Linked DNA regions of Daphnia pulex. The protein of the gene in region 4 purifies or fractionates together with the protein of the main gene of each other region. This does not show direct contact. Links are inferred from orthologs where the notes say so. Each region holds a gene or a part of one and is shown on either strand. Other genes may lie near its edges.

Region 1 (4,142 bases), on a different chromosome or scaffold from region 4:
TCGATTTGGAATTGGGCGATTCACCACCGAAGCTGAGGTTGATTACACCGCACAAAAGTGTATTCATCAAGTCACCAAACTTCGGGAAATGAGGTAAATACCGAATTCGAAGAAGTCGAACCGTAACCCGGGTCTGGAATTCCCCGACAAATAACTTCCTTCATTTCTGCTAAAAATGTTAATTATGTTTTTTCTCCACTTTTAGTCCTCTTTGGGAAATGGTCCAAGAAGGGATTGATTTGAAAAGTATCAAATGGACGCAGCACTAATCTTTCCATTCAAAAACAAAACTGAAAATGTTGCTGTATAAATTCAGCCTTGTAAAGAAAATGATTTGGAAATATACACTGAAAATAGTGTTGACCAATAACCTTTAATATCTTTTAAGACGATTGTTGCAGAAAATGGTATCGTAAAGTTACAAGTTACTTTGGACTCTTTAACAGTAAAATGAGCCGGGAAATTTATTAGCTATCGGTACCATTGCGGTGCAATAATAAGTCAATATAAAGTATCGAAGGACTAGATCTAGAATAGATTAAAAAAAAAAAAAAACGGCACATCCTGCAGAGAAATTTGACAGCCTTAATATGTCCGTTTTTTGTTCAATAAACGAGTTGATATTTTTGACAATGCCAAACGACTAAGTTTCCGTCGAAGCTCTTTGGGTTAAAAAAGTTTGAAGTCGTTCCTAGCACACAAAAAAGCAGGTGTGCATGGTAACGAAGACTTTTGATTCCTTTCACACTCTTTGTATGTGATTTATGGGGCACTTTTACTTGACATTATACTTGAAGTCATTACATGAATTTCATTTAAAGTTTGGAAAAGGTGAAGAAGTTAATGTAATCTTAAGCGAGCAAGCGAACTTTTGTTTTTTTCATTGCTGCATATCGGGAAAAAAGTACAAAAACCGAAATTTCATATTGCGGCGATTTATTCTTTAGCCAATCGACAGCAATCCACGGCTCCCTACCCCTGAAATGCCAACCTATTTATTACATAGCTGTATCTAGGTAATTAAAAAAGGAAGAGGTTAAAAACCTGCTTGAGAAGCAATGCACTTTTTTTTATCATTTGTTCAATGGTATTTGTGAGTCATTCCGAACTTGAAACTTTTTTTTATTCCCCTCCCACTCTTTCCGTCTGGACAAACGGGCAGGGGAAACTAGCTATGTATTCCTACGCTAGAAATTTTAAAAAATATTCTAAAATATTATTGGACTTTCCCACAAATATTTGTTTTATTATTTTTTTTTGTTTTGGAATAAAACACATTAAATACGTAATTTCAAGCTATATTTAAATGTTTTTGGTTTTATTGGTTTACCATAGAAAAACAGAAAACGCCAAAAAAATAGTTCCGTTTCAAGCTGATGGCCGCCATCTTTAAGGGCTTTTTAGACGCGTCAGTACTTCAGAACGAAGCAGGTCCTTGTTTTCTGATTGTGGCAGGTGTGGCTCTGTTAATCTCTTGTCACCAAATCGAAATTCCAAAGGTATGTGACCTTAAATTGTTTAAAATTACACTTAAAATGTTTTTCGAAAGCAAACAACAATTTTCTCGACTTTTGAATGGCTTTTTACTGTGTCGAAATCTCAAGTGACAGTCAAACACGCAGTTTACTTCATCATAGTTGCGACACTTTGTTAGCCCTGGTTCTTACCCTCGTTTCTTTATTTAAGGTTATCTCGTCGCAAAGTCGTCGATACACAGCCGCATCATGAGTTATCAGATGCAGGCACAAGGGAGGCCAAGTATGAGCTTTTTTAAATTAAAATTTTTCATTAAATCTATTATAACTCTTTAATTTGTATGTATAGTGTCACATGGGCAATATGTTAGCAATAGCCCTGCTGATCTTCCTATGCCCAGCGTTAAGGAACATACATTGATGTGGCAAGGAGTTGGGCAACCTGGATATGTAGGAGATTCAGGAATCCAAAGTGGGGCAACCACTCAGGTAAATATTGAGTGAATTGTGCGAGTGAAGGTAACCTTTCGAACTAAATGTTTACTTCTTAGGCCCCATCACTCTCTGGAAGAGGTGGTGATGATGATATGGATACTTCTGAAGGAGGAGTCATGCTTAACATGGGTGGATCAAGTGGCTATTCAGCTGGTTATACTCAAGACCAAGTTGAAGGTAAACAATAAAATATTTTTGATTCTTATTGCGGTATATGTTTTAATCAAATACTTTGTTACAGACATGAATGCTCAGTTAAACCAGACTCGCTCCCAGCGTATTCGTGCTGCCATGTTTCCAGAGACACTGGATGAAGGAATGGAAATTCCATCTACTCAGTTTGATACCACACAGCCAACTGCTGTTCAGCGTTTAGCCGAACCGTCGCAAATGTTGAAACATGCCGTTGTTAATTTGATCAACTATCAGGTATTATTGCTGAAATTCAAAATTTTGAACTGCTTAAAGTAATAATATTTGGGTTGGTAGGATGATGCTGATCTAGCTACAAGAGCTATTCCCGAACTGATCAAGTTGTTGAACGATGAAGATCAAGTTGTCGTATCTCATGCTGCCATGATGGTTCACCAGTTGTCCAAGAAGGAAGCGTCCCGCCATGCTATCATGAATAGCCCACAGGCAACCAAAGTTTCTATGATTTTATTATTACTCTGTGTTACACTTCTTTTAAAATTATTTTCCAAGTTCATAATGCATATCCGTTTGATCGTAGATGATTGCGGCTCTCGTTCGAGCACTGTCCAATAGCAATGACCTGGAAACAACCAAAGGTGCCGTTGGTACCCTGCACAACCTATCACATCACCGCCAAGGATTGTTGGCTATTTTTAAATCTGGGGGAATTCCAGCTTTGGTGAAGCTGTTGAGGTATTGTCCCGTCTCATCCTTCATGTGTCCGAACTGACGGCTTTCTTCAAACGTTACTTATTTTTATTTTTTGTCATCTCGAAAAGCTCGCCCGTGGAATCCGTTCTTTTTTATGCTATCACGACGCTGCACAACTTGCTGCTCCATCAAGAAGGCTCAAAAATGGCCGTTCGTTTGGCGGGTGGTTTACAGAAGATGGTTGCTCTCCTTCAGCGCAACAATGTCAAATTCTTGGCAATCGTTACTGATTGTCTTCAAATTCTGGCGTATGGCAATCAAGAATCCAAGTTGATCATTTTAGCTTCACAGGGGCCGATGGAACTTGTTCGAATTCTTCGGTCATATACTTACGAAAAGCTGCTGTGGACCACTTCACGAGTTTTGAAAGGTAATTTATAAAAACCGTAATGTTTAATGTACGTGATTTATTTATAAATTTTTTTCCCAGTGCTGTCGGTCTGTTCTAGCAACAAACCAGCTATTGTTGAAGCTGGAGGTATGCAAGCGTTGGCAATGCACTTGGGCCACCAAAGTCATCGCCTAGTTCAGAACTGTTTATGGACCTGCCGCAATCTTTCCGATGCTGCGACCAAGCAGGTGATTATCTTCTAAAAGAAAAATTATTTTATGTTCTGCTCCTATCTTAAGGACAATGCTTATACCTTTATTTTTCTCTTACAGCAAGAAGGTTTAGAAACCCTGCTTCAAGGACTTGTTCAGTTGTTAGGTTCTAGTGATGTTAACGTAATCACTTGCGCTGCCGGAATTCTCTCTAACTTGACTTGCAACAACCAACGCAACAAGACTGTTGTGTGTCAAGTCGGTGGTATCGAAGCGCTGGTTCGCACCATTATTCATGCTGGCGATCGTGAAGAAATCACCGAACCTGCCGTAATATATCCATCTTTTTAAAATGACAAACGTGTTGGTTCTTACAAAATCCATTAATTACAGATATGTGCTCTGCGTCACATGACATCACGTCACGCTGAAGCTGAAATGGCTCAAAATGCTGTTCGTCTTAGTGGTGGACTGCCCGTCATTGTCCGTTTATTGCAACCCCCCTCTCGTTGGCCACTCATCAAGGGTATGTATCATTATAGCAAGTTTGTCTTTTAAAATGTCTCATAATTACCATTTTTGTTTAGCTCTGATCGGGTTGGTTCGTAATCTGGCTTTATGCCCTGCTAACCACGCTCCGCTGCGAGAACAAGGAGTTATTACTCGTTTGGTGCAGCTGTTGATCCGTGCTTTCCAAGACATCCAACGAGTACGTTTGTTTTA
Region 2 (3,685 bases), on a different chromosome or scaffold from region 4:
CACTTTCTATCGACTCGGAGTTCGTTACATGACTCTCACCCATTCGTGTCCGACTCCATGGTATACACATCTAATTCTTTAACTGTCATTTATTTGATCAATTATAATTTTTTTTTTAAATTATTCTTTAAGGGCTGACAATTCACAGCTGGATAACCCGGGTCAGGAACCTATTCACGACGGGCTTACCGGTTTTGGAGAAGTATATTCCTTATTTTTTAAATTGCTGTTATTCTTGATTTTTAGACAAGTTTTTGTCCGTTTAAATTTATTAAGGCAATAGTCCAAGAGATGAATCGTCTGGGCATGATGGTGGACATTTCTCATGTGTCGGTCTCGACAATGGAAGACGTATTGAACGTGTCAAAGGCGCCCGTGATTTTCAGTCACTCGGGGGCATTTTCTGTTTGCAACAATACTCGAAACGTGCCCGATCATATCCTTCGTCGATTGGTTAGTCCTACCATCAATTTTCTTTAGTCATAATTCATATAGCTTTCTGTGCTACAGGCGAAAAATGACGGAATTATCATGGTGGTATTTTACAACGAATTTATCGCCTGCGGTCAGTCGGCAAGCCTCAACGATGTGGTGCGCCACATCGAACACATTCGTAATGTTATCGGGGCAGATTACATCGGACTCGGTGGTGACTTTAACGGAGTTGACAGGTAAATTATTTATTAACAATACAAATGAGCAGGGAAAATAAGCGGTTAATATTTGAAGGGTTCCCACTGACTTGGATGATGTTTCAAAGTATCCCAACCTCTTCGCGGAATTGTTACGTCGCGGTTGGAGCGAAACAGATTTAGAAAAATTGGCTGGTAGAAATATGCTGCGCGTGATGCGTCGTGTTGAGCAGGTACAGTACTTTGTTATTTATATCACGCCACGCCTTCTTTTCAAATTAATTGTTATCAAAATGCTGATATAAGGTTAAAATGGAACTCTCATCCATGGAGCCGATTGAAGAATGGATTCCGGCCGAAGACCTCCGACCTGAGCACAAGCAATGTCTCACCGAGTACAGTTAATTTCTCATCGTTAGATTTCTTCACGGTTGATTCATCAGCAGGTTCTAAGAATTTGAACCGCGCAATTTAAATTTGTATTCTCCTCCACGCGCGCCATAGCAATCGTTTAAAATTACCCTCGCTTGATTCCGTACCAAATTCTATTATGATTGTCAATCGAAAAGAGAAACTTGCGTTTGCTTCACGCTCAGTCATCACGTCAGTTTGAATTGAATTGCTAGACTGAATTATTTGATTTCAAAGAAGATAGTATCAGGTTTGTGCAAAAATGTCTAGACTGCCAAATAAATAGCGCTTTATACATTGATAATTTCTTTTTACTGCATTAACATTTATGTAGTTAAAATTTCACGGTTAAATGTCTCTAGCGTAAATGTCGAGATATTTCTTTTTTCAAAAATCTTTTCGCGGTTTCCTAGTGTTCGTTCAATAGGTTCTCGGTAGATGAGGTTAAAGTCGCTTATTTACATGTGCTCTTTTCTTCAGTCGTCTTCTCTTGAAAATTGAAAAATGATTACACCACGTTTCAAGCTCAGCCAAGATGAAAATTGCCTATTTGTCACGATTCACGCACCCTTTTCCAAGGTATCAGACGCAGAAATTTACATGGATGGTACTGATTTTCGCTTTCATTCAAATCCCTATTACATTCGCCTTAACTTGCCGGGAGAAATAATTGAAAACGACGAGGCTAAAGCTAATTTTGATGCTGAAACAAATGAATTCAAAATCACGTGTCCAAAAGTAATAAAAGGAACACATTTCCAAGGACTGGATATGCTTACGAGTCTTCTGGCACCCAAAGGAAAAAGAAGTGTCGACAGCAAGGGAATTGAAGTGCTTGAAGAAACCTGCTCAGAAGAGGACTCGGAATCAGATTTTGATTGGTTCTTGGAGCAAAAAATTGAAGAAGAATCATCAGATTTACCAGCTAATGTTTCGAAATATGGTTTTGGCTTGAAACATTCCGGACTCTTTGCTACATTGGCTGAGGAACTGCATCAGGTTGTGGATGTCAAAAATCCTGACAACCAGTCAGCCTCAGAAAGAAGAATAGAAAGATTGGAACAAGAGAAGAGAGAATTTAATGCAGAACACTACTTGGCTGATTTTTTCCAGACTGACATGATCGATCCTCTAATTGAATACCTACCTTCAAGCAGGATTGGGGAGGAGTGGACAGAGGCAGAAACTATCCTCTTAAAAACCCTCACCAACAAAGAATACCTCCTGGATCATGATCAACTACAGTCCACATATTTGGGTTTGGTTGATATTTTGCTGGCATATTGCTACGATATGAGAACCACCATGTCCGACCCCAACGTCGAATCAGCATGGACCATAGCAAAAATTAGTGGAACTTTATCTTGGCTTGAGGTATTTTTCTTTTTCTTTGTTTATTCTCTTTCGAAATTACGCTTAATCGACTATTTGATAAAAATTTAGATTTTCACTTCGATTCGCCAAGTTGTAGATTGCTTTCTTCGTAGAAGTCTGTGTTTTCCCTTATTTCGAAACTTCAAATTGTCCATTAAAGCCATTGAAGACGCCTCAAATATTCTTAAAGAAGGGCGGACGTCAGTCTTGAGGTGTTTCTTACAAATTCATCAGCTGTTCAACAAAAGTGATCCTCGATACCTTCTTAATCAACTGTACATTCGAGACTATTGTATCTGGATACAAAAGTGTAATGACGAGACACTCGCCTCGCTAAGCCAAAGTTTAAAATCGGTAATGATTGTAATTTATGGAATACCAAATTTGTCCTGCTAATTAAATTGTCATAATTTTAGATGGAATTTACCAAAGAAGATGTTACGTTAAACCTTGTTGATCTTGAGCGGGCCGCAGTTAACCTGATGTGCTATAGTGACGACTCGTCAGAAGAATCGGACCTCGAAGAACAAATGGCCCATCTGTCACTCAAAAAGAAATCCGCTTCGAGCGCAATGCCGATTGATCTTCAGGTTGCAGCGGAAGCCGCTCGAATGAGCTCGGAATCTGATTTGGATTCTGATGATGATTCTTCATCCGAAGAAAGTGACTGATTAAAGATTCCCTTCCAATTTCTTGACTTGATGAAAAGTGTATGCACAGATAATGGAACTTCACCATAAGAGGAATACAGTTGAAACTTTTGGTATACTCCTTTTTATCATTCGAATAAAAATGTTGGCACAAGGAAGAGGAACAACATCGATCCTCCGAGTTTAAAAGGCTATTCCTTGAGCCTTAGATTTCTTTTTTCTTTATTTTTATTAAAAGCTAGACAGAACTTCTAAGAGTGTTATCGCTGCGGGCCTGGTAGAGGAATGGAAGCCGGAACTAAGACTAGCCAGTAAAATGCTTTCACATTTATGTCAGCGCCGCCTTTTTATAAAGCCCATATCAGAATTATAGTCTTTACTCTTTAGTGTCTGTAGAAATTGATAGTAAATGTTTTTTTTTTTCGTTTTTCCTGTTCTTATTTCTTAATAACAAACGAAAATGAGGACGCGTACATATTAAACACGGACATTGGATTATTTACATTTAAATTGGCTATAGATAACACTTAGCAAGATTAAATAAAACAACCTGCATAAGTTTGAACGAGAACGACTAAACAATTGTAAAAAGCAAAGTTTTTGCGTCTTTTTTATTTA
Region 3 (2,967 bases), on a different chromosome or scaffold from region 4:
TGACAGCGTCATGTTCGCAACGTGCCACCAGGACACCACCTCCTGAAAACTTAGTATTAGACTATTTATTTCAAATTCAAAGTTTTAACCTACAAACCTTCATCAAAGTCAGTACACAAGGAATGTTCTCTGTGTTTAGTCTCTTGGTATCATAAGGATCATCTGAGAGCTCCAGTTCATGTTGACATCCGTCCATGGTTGCTTTTTTAATAGATGGAATTTGTGTTGCATAAAGGGCCGATTTCTCAGCCAATGACACTGCATCATAAGGGTTCCCTCCACATTGATTCATGATCTTTTTTAATACCATTAAAATGTTTCATGAGAAATTGTTGATTGGTGGAAATATCACATCAGCTATATCAATATGTCAACATACATGACCCAACATTGCTGTCGTGTCAATAAAGAAAGTTGACATAAATTAATTAAGTATCACCTGAAGCATAGGATCTTTGTAGGAATTTGCAAATTTCATTTTCCAGATGTTGATGAGTTTGCAAGTCTCAGCCTTGCCGATCCACTGGCATTGGAAACTAATGTAGTTTCAAGAATTATAGGGTGATAATCCAGCATTGTTCTACCATCACATCGTAAATCATCCATTGATATATCCAAAGTTGAATTTCGTTAAGTAAGGACAATTTTATTTCAATAAGAGACCAACAGAATTTAATTATTTATACCTGGACTCCATGATGAATGAATGCTTTACGGTATATAAAAAACCGTACGGCTATTGTACCAGCTTTACGTAGTAGGGAAAATAATTTACAATCAAAGGATTATACTACCTACATTATTTAAAATTTGACTACATTTTGCTTTAAACTTGCCTTGATTCAGTTGATTTGATTGATTAGCAGCCAGCCTTGTTTTGTTTTTGTTTTGTTTTTGAATCCAATCCAAGGCCGCGTTGAAGTTCGACGGCCTTGAATTATGGATTGGCGTCAGAACCACCTGTCGGGAGAAAAACTAACTAAAAATAAGCGATTATTTTTTACATTTAAATCACAACGACCCCATTATCTCAATCAAAGCGGGATCACGACGTTGCAATGTAAAAGCATCCCCTCTACAAGACGGTCGCAATTTGAATACCGTGACGAAAACCCCCGCAAATCGCATAAAAGAACAATGGAACCCCCCAAACGAAAATCGTTTCCCTATCTCTCCGAGAGGAACAGCGCCACCTCCCAGAGAGAAATCGAGTAAAAAACCCCGAAAACAGCTATCGAGCCGTAGAAGAAAGAGACGTCGTCGCACAGTCGGAGTAGGAGGTGGGTAGAGTGGGGTCGGGTGGGGTGGGGTGGTGGGTGGGAGGAGACAGGGTCGTTTGCCGATAAATCCCTATCGGGAAACTACACACACTACGAATAAAATTAAAATTAAAATCTCAGTCATCTCCTTCTATTCGAAACTATTTTTTATCGTGCAAACCGATTGTATAAACAAATGGTTCAGCGGGTTCAGCAAATTACTAACATAATTCTTCATTAGTTTTTAGTAGGCCTAGGCCTATCATTTTTTTTCGTAGATATCGATGGTTTACAATAATCGATAATTAATTGTGTTTACGCCTTACAAAATTTGGACACGTGCTAGGCGGATTTCATTGGATTTTTCCACAAAATTAATTGATTATTGACAAAAGCCACTCGTCTTCGAAGGTTCTGATTCTAACTACGGAAAAATGACATCTGATTTAGGTTCACAAGATGGTCTTTTAAAGTCCACTCGGCATTCCACAGCACTGCTCGATGTAGAAGGTTCGAAAGTTAAAAGTACGTTTTCCCAAGTTAATTAGTTTTTATGTTAGGTAAACATATGTATTAAAATTTACTTCTTTATCTGTTTGCAGCAAAAGAAAATCTTGTTTTCTCTCTTCTACAAGAAAAAAAGCGTTCTAATGGAACTTTTAAAATCCAGCCATCTCTGTCTTTGCAGAGGGTAAACATAGAAACAGATTTTAGATCAGAATTAATTTAATAAGACCAAGAGTTTCCTTAAGCTTGAGAAAATTGTGTACTTTAGGTTAAAGAATTTCTACCTCAAATAATGAAAGCAAATGTCAAAGTTCAAGAAGAAATTTTGAGTGATCCGAATAAAAAAACCATCTATGATATACAAAATATAGATGGGGCGAGTGGACCAGTAATAGAAATGGTTTGTATTCACATAAATTAATGCTGAATCTATACAAAAGGTTAAACTCTTAATTGCTTTCCCAATAGGATGTAGCCCTCTATGAAGACACAGACTCAGACTGTTCAGTCCCCTCAACAAATTTAGGCACAGAAACAAATCATGGCCCCATTGATGAAAACAATATCAAATTTCCAGGATCTAGTGTTAAATCAAATTTAGTTGAAGTTATAGAGAAGGATTATGTAGAGCAGAAAAGTGAAATTGTTCTTGATGTCTAACAACTGAAAATAAATTGTATAATCTTCTTCGGAAGTCCTAATTGTTTAATGACCATTGAATTTTTCCCTACAACAAAAGACTGAAGAATTGCTAACCGACAGCAATCACTAAGAGTTCTGGGATTGATTTCATAATCATGCAATAGCCTTTTAACAGCTGAATTGGGTTTAGCCAACTCTTTAGGACGTTTTCCCAAGTTGTCTCTCATGTATACATCAGCACCATAATTCAGCAGCAACTGCACCACCGAAAACAGGTTACGATATCTGCCTTGGCACAAAAATTACGTTAATTTTGTTTTAGTCATAGATACGAACCTTAATGAACTTACGCAGCAATATGAAGAGGAGCCTTATGTACTATTGTGGCATTGACATCAGCACCTAACAGAAAAGCAAGATTTTCTAGAAACAAACAATTAATTGCTCATTAATGGTTAAATCACCTGCTTGTATCAATGACAAAATACAGTCTAAATTAATTTTGTAAGCAACACATGCTGCATGAAGAGGTGTTCCATAGTGTCGATCTGCAGCATTC
Region 4 (4,122 bases):
AAGAACTAATCTGTGTACTTTTATGGATTGACCTTCAGCAGCCAGGACTACATCTACCAGACTTTCTCTCACGAGCAAAGAGTCGAGGACGGATACCAGAGTACTGTGATGATTGTTCCATTTGAGACAAAACTCTTGAATGTCGTGCTGGCCCATCATCGCAGGCACACACGTCCACCTGTTTTAATTCGGAAATGCACAACCAGACCCTTGGTATTTTTCACCAAAGCCTTCGTGAGATAACAACAACAATTCACCCCTATGAGAAGACCAATTTATGGCGTTGGCGAAATTCTGAGACCAGTAATTCGAACCAGCTTATGATCCAGTGAGTTAACAATCCAGCAGGTGTGTTGTGTATAAAAATTCACAAAGATTGAAAGACGCCATCTCTAACAAGTATTTTTCGTCTGCTATTTGGCGCGGCGTCGTTGTCAAATCAAAATATCCGAGGTGAAATTTTTCCCCTGTTCAGAATTCAATCAATGTTTTTAGTAAAGCTCGATCCATTTTAATGTATTTTAATCGTTCAAAACGGCTTCCTGTTTTTATTTTGTACACCCGTTTTTAGATGAAAGAAGTTAAAAGTCCGTAACTTTTGAGAGAGCAGCTATCCAACGACACCAAGTTTCGAATAGAAAAGCGGTACACAGAGCTAAATATGTTGGTCATGAGAAATGTGTTTAGAAAAATGGAAGCGGAGTAGCGTGACGAACTGAATTGGTTATTCGTGGAGGATAATTTTATTAAGAAAAATGGAAAGAAACACACAGACCAGCAAATTTGACTCGATTCCTCATTTCATGTACTTGTCTTTGTCTTGCGTCAGGATCTTGGCTGATGATTTGGCATCGAGAAACAGACCTCCGACTTCTTTTATATCTTCATTGGTGATGGAAGAGCGACCGTTAACTTTAGCTGTCAGGGCGCCGGGTGTAAGTAGCTGAACCGCATACCTAAACCAAGAACATTTGATTGTTTAATAAGATCATTTTTTTGCTTTACAATTTTTGTTCTTACCTCAGAGTAGTTCGATTGCCAAGTTCACCAAGAGCTTGGAGGGCATCGTCTTCAATGCTCAATCCTTCTGTTTTGGCACGAATGCGGATAATTTGTACCATCTCTTCGGCGGTGTACTTCATCGTCCGAAGAATGAGAAGTCTGTCGAGTAGATCAAGAGGAATACCATGTGGAGCCACAATATCATCGGTACCCCTGACTGTGCACATGCCTCGATTAGTGGCAAAGATAACGATGGGGGCGATAGCCGATTCCAGCGCTTTTTGGAGATAGGTAAAGCATTCCATGTCCTGAAATTCAATTAAAATCAATCACTAACTTTGAATATCTTTATTTTTATTGGTCTATTACCAGCATGTGAACTTCGTCGATGAATAACACGCCGGGTACAAGCTCTGCAATTCCCTGGTCAATGTACTTGTTGACTACCTTGTTGATTTCTCTCCTCAGCTTGTCTACAATTAAAATGTAAATTTAAATCTTGGTAAGCATTTTTGAAGTATATGAAAATATTACCTGTGATTTCGGTTTTTTTCGGCTTCATTAGCTGTCCCATCATGGAAAGAATGTCTTGGCCTCCCTGTGGGCGGGCATTAGCCACGTCCAAATCGTGTAGGGTGACGTCCTGGACAATTTCTTTCTTTTTGTGAACATCGCCTTTAGGAAGAGGGACATATTCTTCGGCTTCGAGATCGAACTCGGTGGCAAACGTATCAGATCGGCCTTGACGTTTAACCGCTCCGCTATTGGCTTCAATGTAAATGACGTCACCAATTTCAACACGTTCCTTCTGGAGAGATTCGTAGATGGAAGGATCCAACTTGAGCTGCTTTGTTCCTTTAGCCGTCTTCAGTCCAATGATTACATGACTGACAGTTTTGCCATATCCTGTAAAACAAATAACTGGTAGTAAAATTTGTCATAAAAATCAACTGAGTTGTTAACTTTTACCTCCCATAGGATTCTCAGTTTCAACTGGGGTAAGTTCAATGACTTCTCCTTCATAAACTTCTTTCGTTTCCTTGATACGAAGGCCAATAGCTCTACGAAAGTTTTCCATTAAAACTTCAGTTTTCTTGATTTCAGTGCTGAAGACTTCTGAGCCCACCATAGGACAAAAAGGAACCTGTATATGAAATTTTAATTTTCAATTTCTTCAACTTGTAAACAGTTAAAGCAGGACTGACCTTGTTGCCTAAATCTTGAGCAATTGCCATGGCGAGGGCAGTTTTGCCAGTTCCTGGTGGCCCGGCAAACAACACAGCCCTTCCAGCCATACGTTTAGACCTGATCAAATCCACCACCAAACCAGCTGCCTGTGAAATGTAGAGCAAACAGTTGTTGAGTACATTTCTCTTAGAAAACTGAAAAAAATTGTGTGTTACCTCTCTGGCTTGCGTTTGGCCAACAAGGCCGGCAGCGATGTTTATGGCATTGCCGGATTCATCCAAACCGAGACCCTTCACGTGGCTGTGAGCCGAAATTCTTTGAGTTTTGACCGTGCTTCTAACTTCTTCAATCTTCATTTTGTTATTTATAAAAGACTTGCAAATTTACAGAAAAAATGTGGACGCCTTAAGAAGAACACGAGACGAAGTTGCTTCAGGGTTTCTATGGTAACAACCGGCAGTCCCGCCAGATTAAACGCCACCTGGTAGACCTTGACTCAACTGTGTAGTAAAAGGATTTTTTTTTAAGCAGAATGTTTTTTGTTTTTTACCCTTTTTTAAAAGAAAAAGCACCATGGAAGAAAATTTACATGCAAATCATTCTGTAAGTTTTAAATTATCAAGCACCAGGATTCGGCAACCAGGCTATCGGGTTGATGGGGTCCATGGGGATTGGCTGCTCACTGAGATCTAAGATGATTTGAGTGGTTGCCGAAGCCGTTAAACGAAATTAAACTGAAACACCTGTCGTCTGGTAAACAAACAAGCTTGTTCTTTCTTCTATTCATTGATTCATTTCGATTTCATGTTTCACTGGGAAGTGCTAAAATCTTTTACATCCGTCGCAGTAGTCAAATTGTTACAAGCGTGTGACGAAAGTCGTGAAGTTTGTCTGCAGTTATTTCCTCAATTTCAAACACAAACAAACAATTAGCCTATACGAACCCCATTATAGACTTCAAACGTGCCTTCACTTAAAAGTACTAATTAAAGAATAGATCCAACAATAGTTTCGTTTATCTATTTCGTGTATGACCTACACATTTTTCATACACACGCAGGAATAGGCGAAGGAGAGGTGCGGCAAAGTAGACACGCTGCAAGTTCGATGACTTGACACATAACACGCATTGATGCTGTAGTCTTTTTTAGAATGTTGTCGTCTTTTTAAACACAGAGTAACAGAATATTTCATGGCTGTTGTTATTTTGTTGTCTGGTATTTTCGGCACATTGGAGAAAGAATAATGGAAACCGTTGTTTTCAAACTCGTTATCAGTAAATATTAGAAAGCTCGCTGTTTCACTGCTGAGCGCGAGCACTCGAACGTGAATGTGCCCTCAATTTTCTCAAACTGATTCTCATTAAAACATTATCTGGTGCATTCGCATGCGATTATTTGCTAACTAAACTCTCCTCGCTCCAGAAGGTCATATAAAACAAAAATGGAGATGAAACTACTACCAAAACACCTTTTCGTTTCGAAATGGATTAAATACTGAGCTCGATTTGACATACAGAACCCGTTACAAGGTATATTTTTATTTTAAAATGATACATCACATTCTTATCGGTTTTTTTAACAATAATTCTTTATTAATTAGTACTTCAAAATGCCTTCCGATTAAGAACGAGAATGATCTTTGACGCCTTTTGTGGAATTTGAATGATTGGATGAGTTGGCGGAAACCTGGCTGAATGATCCCTCATTGCAAACGGCGGTGGGAGAAAGTCAAGCCCATATATCTTGCAAGTTTGTTAACACTTTCACTTTTGTACTTATCTCTTCTTACTTATACTTACTTCTCTTTGAACCAAAAAAGGATGAGTCAAGGGCCTCAAGAGAGGCTAACGGCATACAGCAGTACCTTCAAGTGCTCGTACTAGCTACTGAAACCCGTTGGATATGAAACCACGACAATATGACACTTCAC
Region 5 (4,012 bases), on a different chromosome or scaffold from region 4:
CTCCTAAATAGAAATATGTTCACATTACTAATGCATACCAAATTACTCGGCGAATAATATTTGCAGTATGTTTTCATTTAGGTAATTTTCGTCAGAAATATTCCGTTCACTACTTTCATTAAATAATCACGACACCTTTGTTTAAAAAAAAAATTAATTGACAAGTTTAATTTACCTTGATTGTTGATGTGTCCACTGCAATTGAAAGGTCTTCATTTTCAGCTGTTTTATCTTTCTTCTTCTTTTTCTTCTCTTTGGTTTCAGGAACCGATTCTACGGTGGCATCAAGAATGCTTTCATTACCCTGCGGCTCCTGAAAATCATCCATAAATGATTAAGACATCATTATTTCACAAGAGTATAAACACTTACCCGGTCTTTGTCCTTTTTCTTCTTCTTCTTCTCCTTGGTTTCCGTCATGGATTCTGACAACGGATCAGCAACGGCGCTCGTTTCACTTAACTTTCTTTTTCGTGCCTCAGCATCTTCAGTTGGTTCAACCTTTTCTTTTTTAACGCTACAGAAAAATATAATATTATTGAAAAATTTGATACAAATACTGCGTTGAATTACATACTTTAGGTCTACATAAGATGTCAACCAATCTTTAGGTGTCTTGTCATTAGGTTTGCCAAACTTATCCAAGAGTCCCTGTTTCACCATACCCTTCTTGACGGAAGCCTAAAATTAAACAAATACATACATATACATACAAGTAACGCCAATGTAAACTATATCAATTTTTACTTTAGGTCCAAGTCCCCATTTCCTGGGATAAGTGTCACGCTCCATGACAACACGTTTAATTTTGGCAACAATACCATGGTCACATGAAGCCATGGTTGTTGTCGTCATCAAAGCAATGGCGAGAGCCACTGCTTCTCCTTTGGTTGTTACTATAACAATCTCTTCATTTAGTTCGATACCATTTTCGTACCGCAATACACCAGGCAACATGATTTTAGCTCCATAGCAAACGGCATTAACCTGTTATATATTTTTTTAACACATTATTATAAAGAATATTATAGATAAATATTAACACACTTACAGCACTGTCTTTCATGATTATTCGCTTGTGAGACATCATCAATGCCTCTAATGGACGAATAACCCGCCGCAGATATGTTTCGTCCTTATGATTATCATGTAACCACTGCGCATCGATTACATCGTGCATAGTCATTAACCCTTCTTTTTCACTTTGGATACCTTATAAAAAATAAAATCTTCATCTTAAGAACACACACAAAAAGAAACTTCCTGGCTTACCAGAACGAACTCTTCTGAGTTCCGCCATCTGAGCTCCTACGCCTAGCACCAAACCGAGATGGACACAGTGGGTACGAACGTAAGTTCCGGCTTCACAGCTAACCCAATAGATACCCATTTGTCTCTCGGCATCGTACTCGTAAAATTTACTCTCGTAAATGGTTCGCACACGAAGTTGTCGCTTAACAGCCGAGATCAGTGGTGGACGCTGAAACAAAGCTCCAGTCAACTTCTCAAGAGCTCGAGGAATCTTAATAAATAAAAAAAATATATACAAAATTAGTATTTATAAAGATCAAGTTTCTAACTTAAAAAATTAACAGAATTCAGTTAAATGCTTCATTATCTTTAATTATCTTCAGTCATTTCAGTCCACTACTTTCGATAAATTAATCATTAGCATCTTTAGCATAAGGCTTTCAACTAGAAGGGTCAAGAAACTACCTGATTGTTATCTTCAACTGCAGAATGAAGCTTAAATATGGCAACATACTCTTTGCCAGCTCCCTGCTGAGATTTGACCAGCCTTGTAGCACGATCAATGCAAACAATCAAACACCCTGTATAATATTCAATTAGTAAAGTCCATGGGATTTTCTGAGTGCTATCAACATACCTGTAACTTTAGGGTCCAATGTTCCTGAATGACCCGTCTTTTCACATCTTAGAATCCTCTTAATCCAGGCAACTACTTCGTGAGAGCTTGGGTTAGATGGCTTGTCAAGATTAATAAAACCGCCATGAATATAATCTTTAATTGGCCTCTTCAATGGTGAACAACCACTTGGAAGAGGTGTATAATGATTTGTCCTTGTGTTTAACTTGTCAAAATTCTGAAAAAAAAAGATGATTTAGAAAATGTTCACATTTCTTAATAAATAACAAGGGAAAAATTAATATCTATAAAGATCAAGTTTCAAACTAGAAAAATTTTAAGAATTTAGTTTTAAATGCTTCATTATCTTTGAGTGTCTTCAGTCTTTTCAGTCCACTACTTTCGATAAATTAATCATTAGCATTCTTAGCATAATGCTTGTATAGATAGATACTAAAATAAATTATTTTGAGAACATCTACATTTAATTTAATATTTAACAACATACCTTTAGTAACAGCGGCCATTGTGAACAGTCCAATTTTGCTACTGGTTTTTCTGATGGCTCCAACACAAAGTCTGAATCTCCTTGAATATCTCCCAAGGACTTTCTTGACTTCTTTCCACTTTGTTTCTCTCCTAGGACTTCTGAAACACAGGAATGCTAACATTAACCGACACGTGTTACCAACATTAATCCGTAGATCACAGAATTAACCAAATTAATGTAAATTTCGAATCATACTATTTGTGCAGCAAACTACAATGCATCTTTTCCATGTGAAAACACATAATCGATCCCTATAACTAGCTTGTAAAATTTATATTATGTGATGGCGCTTACCAGATGAATGCATCGTGCTTCACACGTGGTTCGAAGTCCTGTCTTTGATCTAATGTGTTGAAAAACCTCTGCTACAAAAAAAGAAACCAATGAGCGGAAGTGTTGAGCGTTGCCATTTGATTTTTGATTCTTATTTTTGGAAAAAAATTAATCACGAAGTCACTTTTTCTGCTATGACATGTATTTCCAATATTTTACTTGATTTTAAAATTCAATGGTTCAAATTATCTCTTTATTACCATTACATTAGAAGTTACAATAACTATAACATCTTTCTCCCGTGGGCCGTGGCGCTTTGGCTTTGGGAAGGGTACTCTAGTGTGTGGCGCCAAAACCTCTTGAAGGTCACCTGGTGGCAACTGGTGGCAATTTTTCGCTACTCTATAGTGTGGGTACTGTTTAGTGTTTTCACCATCTAAAATTTGTACAACATTTCTGGACATACTGCTTGTTTCTTTCTTTAGTCTTTCTACTACATGCTGCAAATTGGTGTATAAATTAAGTGAACAATTTGACTGTAACACTCCGATTTCGTAAACTATTTACAAATGGCCCTTAATAACAATAAATTTGATGCGTAAGTTTTCAAATTTTATACATGTTTTAATAGAATTTGCGTTTACTTTGTTGCTTTTCGACAGGTTGAACAACAGCGAAGACAGTGATGACGACGAAACTTCATTCAGTGAAGAAAGAAAGAAAAAGGATTTAATTTTGGTGAGATATTAACTGCATAATACACAAAAAATTATTGTAATATCTATTAACTCTATGTTAATGATGTGATAATTGCGATAGACGAATTTATGTGCTCACTTACCCATTTTTTCCTACTAATTTAAAGGTTAATTTTTTTCAGCAACCCATTCAAGTTCCTCGAGAAGAACATCCACTCCAGTACACATGAAAATGATATTACTTTTATTAGTACATGTTAATTATAGAAATACCATTTGTTTTTAGATACACATACTGTTTGTGGTTTAGTCGGAGAGCTCCTGGAAAACATGCAGCACCCCAAAGCTTTGATCAGAATCTAAGAATGGTTGGACGTTTTGCTTCTGTAGAACAGTTTTGGTCATACTATTGCCATCTGGTCAGGCCTTGTGAACTCTCTGGTCACAGTGACTTTCATTTATTTAAAGATGGAATCAAACCAATGTGGGAGGTTGTATTATTAAATAATAATAAGGGTGGTGAAGTGTTTATTAACCTACTTTTTTTTCCCAACAGGATGATGCCAATCGTTGTGGTGGTAAATGGATTGTGCGTCTTCGAAAAGGTTTAGCCTCACGTTGTTG
Region 6 (4,275 bases), on a different chromosome or scaffold from region 4:
ATTGTGATTTTATTCTTTTTGTTTGGAGTTTCGGCAAAACATTTCAGTGAGGACGTTTCCACGACCGTTTCGCAAAAAGACACCACAGGATCAGCAACTACAAGAAAAACCAAAGTGAATTAGTTAAATTAGAAGAATTAACAGTTGGGAAGAAATGAATGGCAAACCTTTAATGTCGATTTCCGAGTACATTTTCCTGAGATCGTGCATGACACAGTCCAGGTAAAGTTCGCCTGTTCCAAGAATAACGTGCTCGCCCGACTCCTCCACTCGCGTCGAGAGCAACGGGTAAGATTTGTTAACCTTACGCAGACCGTCCAACATCTTGGGCAATTCGCTGGGATTCACCGGCTCAACGGCAATTTTGATGATGGATTGCGTGTTGAATTTCAAGGGTCGGCAAATGTACAAGTCCTCGTCGACGTGAACCTGGACGATGGTCGACGTCTTGACCACTGAGGCATCGATCCCTTCGATCAAGACCCAACTGCCTGCCGTTACTCTATTGACTTCGATCTTGTAACGGGCCTCGTATATCCAAAGTCGACCGATCGTCAACACACGTGAATCTTCTTCGTCATTGAGCGAATAGTTTTCACCCAGGAGTCGGACGTTCTGGTGAGCGTGAAGGGTCCCACTCAGGACACGACCCAGGACATAGAATCCAGTGCAGTCCTCTGTGGGATACTGTTTGGTAGTATGGACAACCAGTTGGCCGTTGGGATCACAGTTGACCATGTCTTCGCCCAGGATGGACTCCAGGGGACCTGTGTAAATGTGTTCCACTTTGGTGCGAGCAGCCGTTACGGGCGACGGGACGTGTTTGACGCACATTTCCACGAAACCTACACACACCAGTCAAACATTGACATTTAAAGACCGTTGCTTCAATTCAACATACATTTTAATTGACATACCGCTGAAAGTGCCCAGGTAGCGACTGCAGACCAGTCTCAACAAGGGGCGAGTGTTTAACCGCTGTTCCTCGACAGTCAGGCGAATGCCAAGTTCGTCCAGCAACTGCGGTAGACTCGAATCCAAATCTCCCACAACCTAAACAAGCAAAAAATATTGGAAATGAATCAACTGTTCAAATTAACTGCAAAGTTGTCCTTGGTACATGCCTGGGCAAAGATTTTGTACAACGGCTCTAAAATGAACTCGATGAAACTTCGCTGAGCCGAGCTATGTGGCGGCTTTTTGGTGAACTTTCTCGTCTTGCTGTTGAAGTAAATGTCACCCCACAGACGACGTGCTAACTCGTTGTCGTTGATATCGGATCCGTATCTAAAATGAAAGAAAATGAAGTTTCATTTAAGACCGTCATTGCCATTGTGGACGTGTGCGTACGTGTCACTGTAAAGTTTGGCGAAGGATTTAAGGGTGAAGCAAACGGAGAACTGGGCAGAAGCAAAGCAGACGTTGCCCAACAAGGGCGACACGAATTTTGGATTCTCTTCGTCGCTGTACAGGCCCAAAAGACCGTTGATCTCTTCAATGATGTAGCGCAACTTGTAATATGCGTCCTGAGGTGGCAGCTTGAGCTCCAAAATGAGTCGATCGATTTTGTTGATGCAAACTGTGATGGCCATTTTCTCCTATGAAAGGACAGGGTTAAAAAGAAATTCTTGGAATAACCAAGTTGAAGTTTTTTTTTTTTTTTAATTACCTGGACGGCGTGCTTCAAGATTCGTTCCGTGTTGAGCATGACACCCTCGACAGCGTCGACAAAGAGGACGATACCATCGCAAAGTCTCAGGGCAGCCGTGACTTCATCTGAGAAGTTGACGTGACCTTTAAGAAACATCAAAATCGATTAAATACATTTTTCCCCCCCATTTTGCAAGTTGGAAAACTGTAATTTACCAGGTGTGTCGAACATGTTGAGGAGGAAGGATTTTTCGTTCAGGTCGGGCATGACCACGGTAATGGGCGTCGCTTTGATGGAAACACCTCTCTCTTGTTCAGTAAAGAGTGTGTCTGTGTATCTGACAGGCTTCTCCTCTCCACTGCCAGGTTTTCCCGTCTGGAGATCTGGGTGTGTTTGCATGAGCAGACAATCCATGAAGGAAGTCTTGCCATGGTGCAAATGACCAACAAGGGCCACTGAACGAATAAGTTCTGCAGAGTCCATGAGATCAGCCAAAAACTCCATGTTATACGTGGTTTCAGGGAGTTCTTGCTCAGCAACCTAATGAAAATGGGTGGAAACAGGTTAATCAACAAAATGAAATATGGCAGCGAAACAATTTGTGGTACCTGAAACTTCCTTCGTTTGACAGGTGCGATGATGGGTTCAGTCAAGGGCTGAGCATCTTCTTCCTGCACCAGTGTCTCCACACCAGGTCCGTAAACCTCCAACGCTGATGGATAGTATTTTTTGTCTTCATGCAAAACAATGGCCATCTGTGCGTCGCCATCAACCACCGTTTGATCCATGGCCTCTTCGGAATCATTGTCACCATAGTCTTCGGCTTCGTCATCGTGATCAGCCTCGTCTCCTTCCTCATTTTCGTCTTCATCTGACTCGAGTTCGGGTCCAATGTAATTGCCGAATTCGTCGTAGAGATCGGCGTCCATTCTTGACAGTCAACTGAGTCGTTTGCTGTCTGTAAATTGGGCAGATACTTTGGATGTTGTCGATCGGTATTCGGCTTAACCCAACACTCACAGTTATAAAGCTGTTTCAAAAGGGAATTTCAGAAAAGCCGGGCCTTTCAAGAAAATGCGTTTACTATGCGTACAGATTTGCACGCGCTCAAAACGAGCGACACTAGCGACATCTAGCGGGTGCCAATGAAATCTGAATTTAAGAACAGCGCCATCTACCAGCTAGCAGGTGGATTATGAGTGGCAAAAAAAATGAAAATAAAATAAAATGAATAAAATAAATAAAAATAAAAATAAATAAATAAAAATAAAATAAAAGAGAAAAAAAAAATTCACAGCGTAATAAAATGCAAATGGGAATCCCGTTGAGGGCGGGGTTTTCCCTACCCGAATAAGGAAATGTTTCTGGCGCTGTTTTTTTGCTTGTGCACTGGAAACTGAAATCTAGTTGTGAATTTATATAGATGACGTGTCAGTCGCTATCAGGTCGGGTCCACGACGGAAAAAAACATTTTGTAGGAGAAACAAAGTCAGTCGAACACGGGCGATAATATCAATCAAAGCGGGCGAAATAAGGAGTAAAATGCCGTCATGTTTTTGAATTGAATAACGGAATAAATCTCAGCAGTCGTCTGATGTCTACGCACACAGTGCAGAATTTCAGTTTTGCCGGGCGATGGAAGCCCCCTGGATGGGCAAGTGCCCTTATATGATTTATTGCTGCCGACTCGTATGGAAAGATATATTAGACGTCTTTATCTGCAGACGAGTCTACAGACGAGCGACCCCGATTTATATATTCGCTTGTTGGTTTGTTGTTGCCAAAAGGAAATCACAAAAAAAAAACCCAAAAAATACTTGGGATGATATGGGCAGATCGACAAAATCAATGCCGGCCATTCGGTGATGTAGACCAGCCCAGCCCAGCCCAACTAGAGTTCTCCTTCTGTCCATGGGTTCTCGGTTGATGGTTCTTTTTTTTTTTTTTATTCGGGATATAATCACCGTTATCGGCGATGCTTCGAGTTGCTTGTTCTGTTTTTGTTGTTTGCAGCAATGTCATCCATTGTGTAGGCGGATAGAATGTACCCGGTTGAATGTCGCTGCACACATTTAGACTTGGCCAACAGCAGCAATCGACTTCCTCCTCCTTATTCCTCGTGCGTGAATTTTCCGTGGGGGTGTCCAATCAATAGCCCGACAGACTCTGACTGAGATTTTTTTTTTTTTTGGTTTGTTTTGTTTTTCTCTTTTTAAATTTCTATCCATCATCTTTTTTGTGTCTGCGGGGGGGTCACTATACTGTCCGGTGTGCATTGCCACGGCGGTGTAGTCTGTCGGGAGTCAAGGCTTAATGGATCGCAATGATTATTGGACGGCATTCATTACTACACAATACCCTTCGACATGGATGAAGCGATTGTAGTTCACTGGACTCCTGGACACATTAGACTTACGAAATGATTGATTGTTAATCAAGTCTCGTGGTGATGACGGAATGTTATTAGACCTCGACATTGGTCGAGCCAACAATCTCCACCCCAATTATAAAATTCGGCAACTCAGACATCGGTCGGGATTCATTTTGGCTAGACGCGAAAAAAAGACAAAAAGAAAACGTTTAGACATTGGCCGATTGGTGATGGAACAAACAACAACAACAAC
Region 7 (2,911 bases), on a different chromosome or scaffold from region 4:
ACACACTCATAGGGCGACATCACATGGCCGAAAATGTAATGGTGATTCATCCTTAAATTATCTCAACTTTGGCTTCGTTTTGGAATCGATAGAGAAACCTACTATTGATCAATGTTGTTCTTACCCGACTTAGATAAATTCTTCAATCAATTTTTTATACGAATGAAAATACACGTTGCAAATCCCAGCACATCGTCGGCGAGGGCTCTGTAAAAAACCGAAGAACAGAACAAACAGTTGCTCGCAGTGCTGCACTGGGGCGCTTTCAAGTGGCAATGAAACGCACTACAAAACCGGTGCATTCTCTTCCTTCCGATGCCTCTTCCAACAACTCTTTCGAAATGTGGTCACGTCGAATTCATTTTTAATTATTATAATTTTCATACACTTGAGAAACAGGAAATCGTATCGACAACTTTTTTTTAACTCTCTAAAATAAGTGAGGTAATTAAACTGAAGATGGAAAGGTTTTTCTAACGAATAAAAATTCAAACGCATGATTTTGAAGTGGGCGGTCATTTTTTAGTCCGGCCGAAATTTTTTTTTTAACACAATACCCGAGTTACAAAATTTCATTAAACGGTTTCGCAATCAATAATGTACGAGTGCCGAAAAAGTTGACATGGTAAAAAAAAAAAAAGTCATTCATCTTCTTGTTTTCAAATTCGTCGACGTTTTGGAGTGATTTGCGGTGTTCCAGGGCTTGGGGCAGTGCTGGCTCTTGTTCTTTTCACAGCTTTCTTTTCAATTGGCTGGGGTGTTTCAGGAACTTTTTCCTTCTTAACTTCTTCCTTTTCCTTCTTTATCACTTTCTTGGATTCAGCATCCTTGAATTTGCTATCCATCAATTCGCCATACTCCTCAGTGGAAAGGACAAAGTCCATTTCTTCGTTGGGGAAAGGAATCGTCTCGTGCTCATCCTAGAGAAAGAAACAAACACTTTAATACAAAACAATACAGTGAATATTAATGACAGTGAACAAACCAGTTTCTTGAGATCGTACAAGCTCGCCAGGTGATCCCAAACACCTTTGGAAGTGACTTCTTTGTTCAGATTCATTGCCAGTTTTTCTACGATGCAGGCCATTTGAAAGTATTTACTAATTCCTGTAAAAAAGAAAATGTTTTAAATATTTAACACAAATTAAACCTGCTGTGAAACAAGTGTAGAAAATCGTCGTCATTTTCAAACGTTTATCTTATTACCTATGGGTCTGGTGCCACACAGAATTTGTAACAGCTGCAATTCGTTATCGACGGTACCCCATTCCACTTCTGCAGCCTCCAAAGTCTCTTCGTTTCCTTCAGTTTTTTCTTTAACGGCCATATTTCAATCGATTTTAACTGAGTACGTTGATATTGAATGGAGATTTCTCCGACGTTCGACTAGTGGTTGAGGAAAACGAAAATAACAACCGGCTCCCTTCTGACAAGTGAAAATACTACACACACACACTCCGCAACGCCATCTGTGATTTGGTTTTGGTAGGATTAGGTGCGTCTGCTATGCTAGCAGACACGCCATCTGTGATTCAACTATTCAACTGCTAGTCAGTTTGTTTTTGTTTTTTTTCTTTTTCACAATTTAATTAAAAAAACTGTTGTTGTATAAATGTTTCATAATTGACCCGACAGAAATTAATTCAGTCAGCCAAAATGGAGAGAAAACAAAACAAAACAAACATCCTGTTTTATTTAATCCAGCGACGTTAGTTAATCGTTATCTGAACAACACCAAGATTGTCGAATGATAAATCAGGCACGGTTCTTAGAATGTCCTGGGCGAAACATTCCGACGAAATACTTTTCCCATTTCCCGTGTCCATTTCCCAAGGTCACAACCAGTTGAATCATCACGATCACGAAGCGTAAGCAGAAAATGGGAAGGAAAAGAAATAAAATAATACGGAGGAGAGTTTTTTGGCGTTGGTGTGTGTGTAAATGCAAACGAAATATCCGCCCTGTAAAATCAAAATAAAATAAGCGGAAAAGAGTCCCGACACAAAACAGCCATTTCCTCCTCCCACACGGAATAAATGCTGGTGAACACAAAAAGAGCTATTGGTCAATTTTTTTCCTCTCCAAACAACTGTTATTACATGATATAACTGCCGTGCAGGCCGGCCGACTCCATTGAGGCGTAGAAAACCAGCCAGCGTTTATTTCAACGGTGAAAAGAAAGCAAAATAAAAAACCCATAGAAATCGCTTCCATCTCTCTTCATTGTCTAGTACTAAACTTTTGTGTATTGCCGTTTAGCCCCCAAACATTTCCCAGCTCAGCCAAAGAATTTACAAAACACACACACAGACAAATTGACTATCATTCAGTTTCAGCTTTTTCCTTCTACAAATTTTGGTTTTATTGTGCGAAACATTGGCCGGCAAACGGGAGAAATATCACACAACACGCCGGGCTGCCCTGGAGAAGAGAAAAAAGAATGAAAGGGAAGCGGATCATTAAACGACGCCGGATCATTTAAGGACTTTTCCGGAAAGAGAAGAAAAGATCTAGAGGGAAAGAGACGGGAATTTTTTGTGTTGTTTTTCAAAGTCTGCCGGGCAGGCTGGGCGCGCTAACGTTGGTTGTTTAAGAGGTCTGCTGATCTATTTGTAGTGATGGTAGTTGTGGCTGCTGCTGCTGTTCCTCCTGGGCAGCCTGAGCGGATGTCAAAGCCGCCTCCTGCGATCCGCCCGCGTTTGTTTCGTCTTCGTCAGCTCGGTCCGTCTTGGCGCTCCTTGGTTGGCGTCGTCTAGGTTTGGACTGCTGGTCGAGGCCGTCTCCGTTGGTCGCCGCCCGTTTGACCAGTTTGCGGTGTCGGTTACTGCCGAGGTGTTCTTGCCACTGGCGCTGGCCGACCGTCACCTTTTCGCAGAGCGGGCAGTGAAAGGACGTTTGCTCTTCCCGCGTC

What was found.
Region 1: the proteins of ruvB-like helicase 1 (region 4) and armadillo segment polarity protein-like purify together in Homo sapiens (affinity purification with mass spectrometry; 6 studies listed by BioGRID and IntAct, with this or other methods). This does not show direct contact. The link is inferred for Daphnia pulex from reciprocal best matches to the Homo sapiens genes RUVBL1 and CTNNB1.
Region 2: the proteins of ruvB-like helicase 1 (region 4) and protein SHQ1 homolog purify together in Homo sapiens (affinity purification with mass spectrometry; 3 studies listed by BioGRID and IntAct, counting the BioPlex papers as one, with this or other methods). This does not show direct contact. The link is inferred for Daphnia pulex from reciprocal best matches to the Homo sapiens genes RUVBL1 and SHQ1.
Region 3: the proteins of ruvB-like helicase 1 (region 4) and NOP protein chaperone 1-like purify together in Homo sapiens (affinity purification with mass spectrometry; 4 studies listed by BioGRID and IntAct, counting the BioPlex papers as one, with this or other methods). This does not show direct contact. The link is inferred for Daphnia pulex from reciprocal best matches to the Homo sapiens genes RUVBL1 and NOPCHAP1.
Region 5: the proteins of ruvB-like helicase 1 (region 4) and H/ACA ribonucleoprotein complex subunit 4-like purify together in Homo sapiens (affinity purification with mass spectrometry; 4 studies listed by BioGRID and IntAct, counting the BioPlex papers as one, with this or other methods). This does not show direct contact. The link is inferred for Daphnia pulex from reciprocal best matches to the Homo sapiens genes RUVBL1 and DKC1.
Region 6: the proteins of ruvB-like helicase 1 (region 4) and 116 kDa U5 small nuclear ribonucleoprotein component-like purify together in Homo sapiens (affinity purification with mass spectrometry; 4 studies listed by BioGRID and IntAct, with this or other methods). This does not show direct contact. The link is inferred for Daphnia pulex from reciprocal best matches to the Homo sapiens genes RUVBL1 and EFTUD2.
Region 7: the proteins of ruvB-like helicase 1 (region 4) and MRG/MORF4L-binding protein-like purify together in Homo sapiens (co-immunoprecipitation; 6 studies listed by BioGRID and IntAct, counting the BioPlex papers as one, with this or other methods). This does not show direct contact. The link is inferred for Daphnia pulex from reciprocal best matches to the Homo sapiens genes RUVBL1 and MRGBP.

Annotation. Positions count from the first base shown.
Region 1 is NC_060020.1:4,722,842-4,726,983, reverse strand, and holds the start of armadillo segment polarity protein-like, read left to right. Parts: upstream 1-1,342; 5' UTR 1,343-1,499; intron 1,500-1,686; 5' UTR 1,687-1,724; coding exon 1,725-1,758; intron 1,759-1,824; coding exon 1,825-1,964; intron 1,965-2,026; coding exon 2,027-2,147; intron 2,148-2,211; coding exon 2,212-2,399; intron 2,400-2,459; coding exon 2,460-2,618; intron 2,619-2,703; coding exon 2,704-2,858; intron 2,859-2,944; coding exon 2,945-3,246; intron 3,247-3,306; coding exon 3,307-3,455; intron 3,456-3,539; coding exon 3,540-3,749; intron 3,750-3,812; coding exon 3,813-3,945; intron 3,946-4,006; coding exon 4,007-4,128; intron 4,129-4,142. Other genes in the region: cysteine desulfurase, mitochondrial-like, read left to right, coding at 1-93, 206-269. UniProt on the Homo sapiens protein: Key downstream component of the canonical Wnt signaling pathway.
Region 2 is NC_060022.1:3,500,960-3,504,644, forward strand, and holds protein SHQ1 homolog, read left to right. Parts: upstream 1-1,480; 5' UTR 1,481-1,547; coding exon 1,548-2,417; intron 2,418-2,486; coding exon 2,487-2,771; intron 2,772-2,833; coding exon 2,834-3,088; 3' UTR 3,089-3,185; downstream 3,186-3,685. Other genes in the region: dipeptidase 1-like, read left to right, coding at 1-60, 133-202, 277-453, 511-671, 730-865, 939-1,037. UniProt on the Homo sapiens protein: Required for the quantitative accumulation of H/ACA ribonucleoproteins (RNPs), including telomerase, probably through the stabilization of DKC1, from the time of its synthesis until its association with NOP10, NHP2, and NAF1 at the nascent H/ACA RNA.
Region 3 is NC_060024.1:614,494-617,460, reverse strand, and holds NOP protein chaperone 1-like, read left to right. Parts: upstream 1-1,413; 5' UTR 1,414-1,693; coding exon 1,694-1,784; intron 1,785-1,861; coding exon 1,862-1,950; intron 1,951-2,034; coding exon 2,035-2,166; exon of another isoform or gene 2,167-2,234; coding exon 2,235-2,426; downstream 2,427-2,967. Other genes in the region: eukaryotic translation initiation factor 3 subunit D-like, read right to left, coding at 1-42, 98-142, 585-606; ankyrin repeat and SOCS box protein 13-like, read right to left, coding at 2,423-2,693, 2,759-2,810, 2,873-2,967. UniProt on the Homo sapiens protein: Client-loading PAQosome/R2TP complex cofactor that selects NOP58 to promote box C/D small nucleolar ribonucleoprotein (snoRNP) assembly. Acts as a bridge between NOP58 and the R2TP complex via RUVBL1:RUVBL2.
Region 4 is NC_060023.1:12,188,576-12,192,697, forward strand, and holds ruvB-like helicase 1, read right to left. Parts: upstream 2,679-4,122; 5' UTR 2,547-2,678; coding exon 2,406-2,546; intron 2,337-2,405; coding exon 2,208-2,336; intron 2,147-2,207; coding exon 1,972-2,146; intron 1,909-1,971; coding exon 1,537-1,908; intron 1,476-1,536; coding exon 1,372-1,475; intron 1,311-1,371; coding exon 1,021-1,310; intron 957-1,020; coding exon 797-956; 3' UTR 501-796; downstream 1-500. Other genes in the region: longitudinals lacking protein, isoforms A/B/D/L-like, read right to left, coding at 1-159. UniProt on the Homo sapiens protein: Possesses single-stranded DNA-stimulated ATPase and ATP-dependent DNA helicase (3' to 5') activity; hexamerization is thought to be critical for ATP hydrolysis and adjacent subunits in the ring-like structure contribute to the ATPase activity.
Region 5 is NC_060025.1:6,908,890-6,912,901, forward strand, and holds the start of H/ACA ribonucleoprotein complex subunit 4-like, read right to left. Parts: upstream 2,801-4,012; 5' UTR 2,725-2,800; coding exon 2,712-2,724; intron 2,516-2,711; coding exon 2,376-2,515; intron 2,106-2,375; coding exon 1,889-2,105; intron 1,833-1,888; coding exon 1,717-1,832; intron 1,523-1,716; coding exon 1,273-1,522; intron 1,213-1,272; coding exon 1,052-1,212; intron 988-1,051; coding exon 748-987; intron 682-747; coding exon 578-681; intron 518-577; coding exon 373-517; intron 314-372; coding exon 176-313; intron 110-175; coding exon of another isoform or gene 107-109; exon of another isoform or gene 4-106; coding exon 1-3. Other genes in the region: eukaryotic translation initiation factor 4E type 2-like, read left to right, coding at 3,260-3,288, 3,353-3,428, 3,556-3,608, 3,675-3,879, 3,945-4,012.
Region 6 is NC_060028.1:8,367,506-8,371,780, reverse strand, and holds the start of 116 kDa U5 small nuclear ribonucleoprotein component-like, read right to left. Parts: upstream 2,801-4,275; 5' UTR 2,581-2,800; coding exon 2,260-2,580; intron 2,192-2,259; coding exon 1,867-2,191; intron 1,795-1,866; coding exon 1,670-1,794; intron 1,599-1,669; coding exon 1,351-1,598; intron 1,288-1,350; coding exon 1,125-1,287; intron 1,054-1,124; coding exon 918-1,053; intron 846-917; coding exon 168-845; intron 98-167; coding exon 1-97. UniProt on the Homo sapiens protein: Required for pre-mRNA splicing as component of the spliceosome, including pre-catalytic, catalytic and post-catalytic spliceosomal complexes. Component of the U5 snRNP and the U4/U6-U5 tri-snRNP complex, a building block of the spliceosome.
Region 7 is NC_060018.1:12,249,322-12,252,232, forward strand, and holds MRG/MORF4L-binding protein-like, read right to left. Parts: upstream 1,474-2,911; 5' UTR 1,328-1,473; coding exon 1,207-1,327; intron 1,108-1,206; coding exon 986-1,107; intron 921-985; coding exon 660-920; 3' UTR 501-659; downstream 1-500. Other genes in the region: tRNA dimethylallyltransferase-like, read right to left, coding at 2,590-2,911.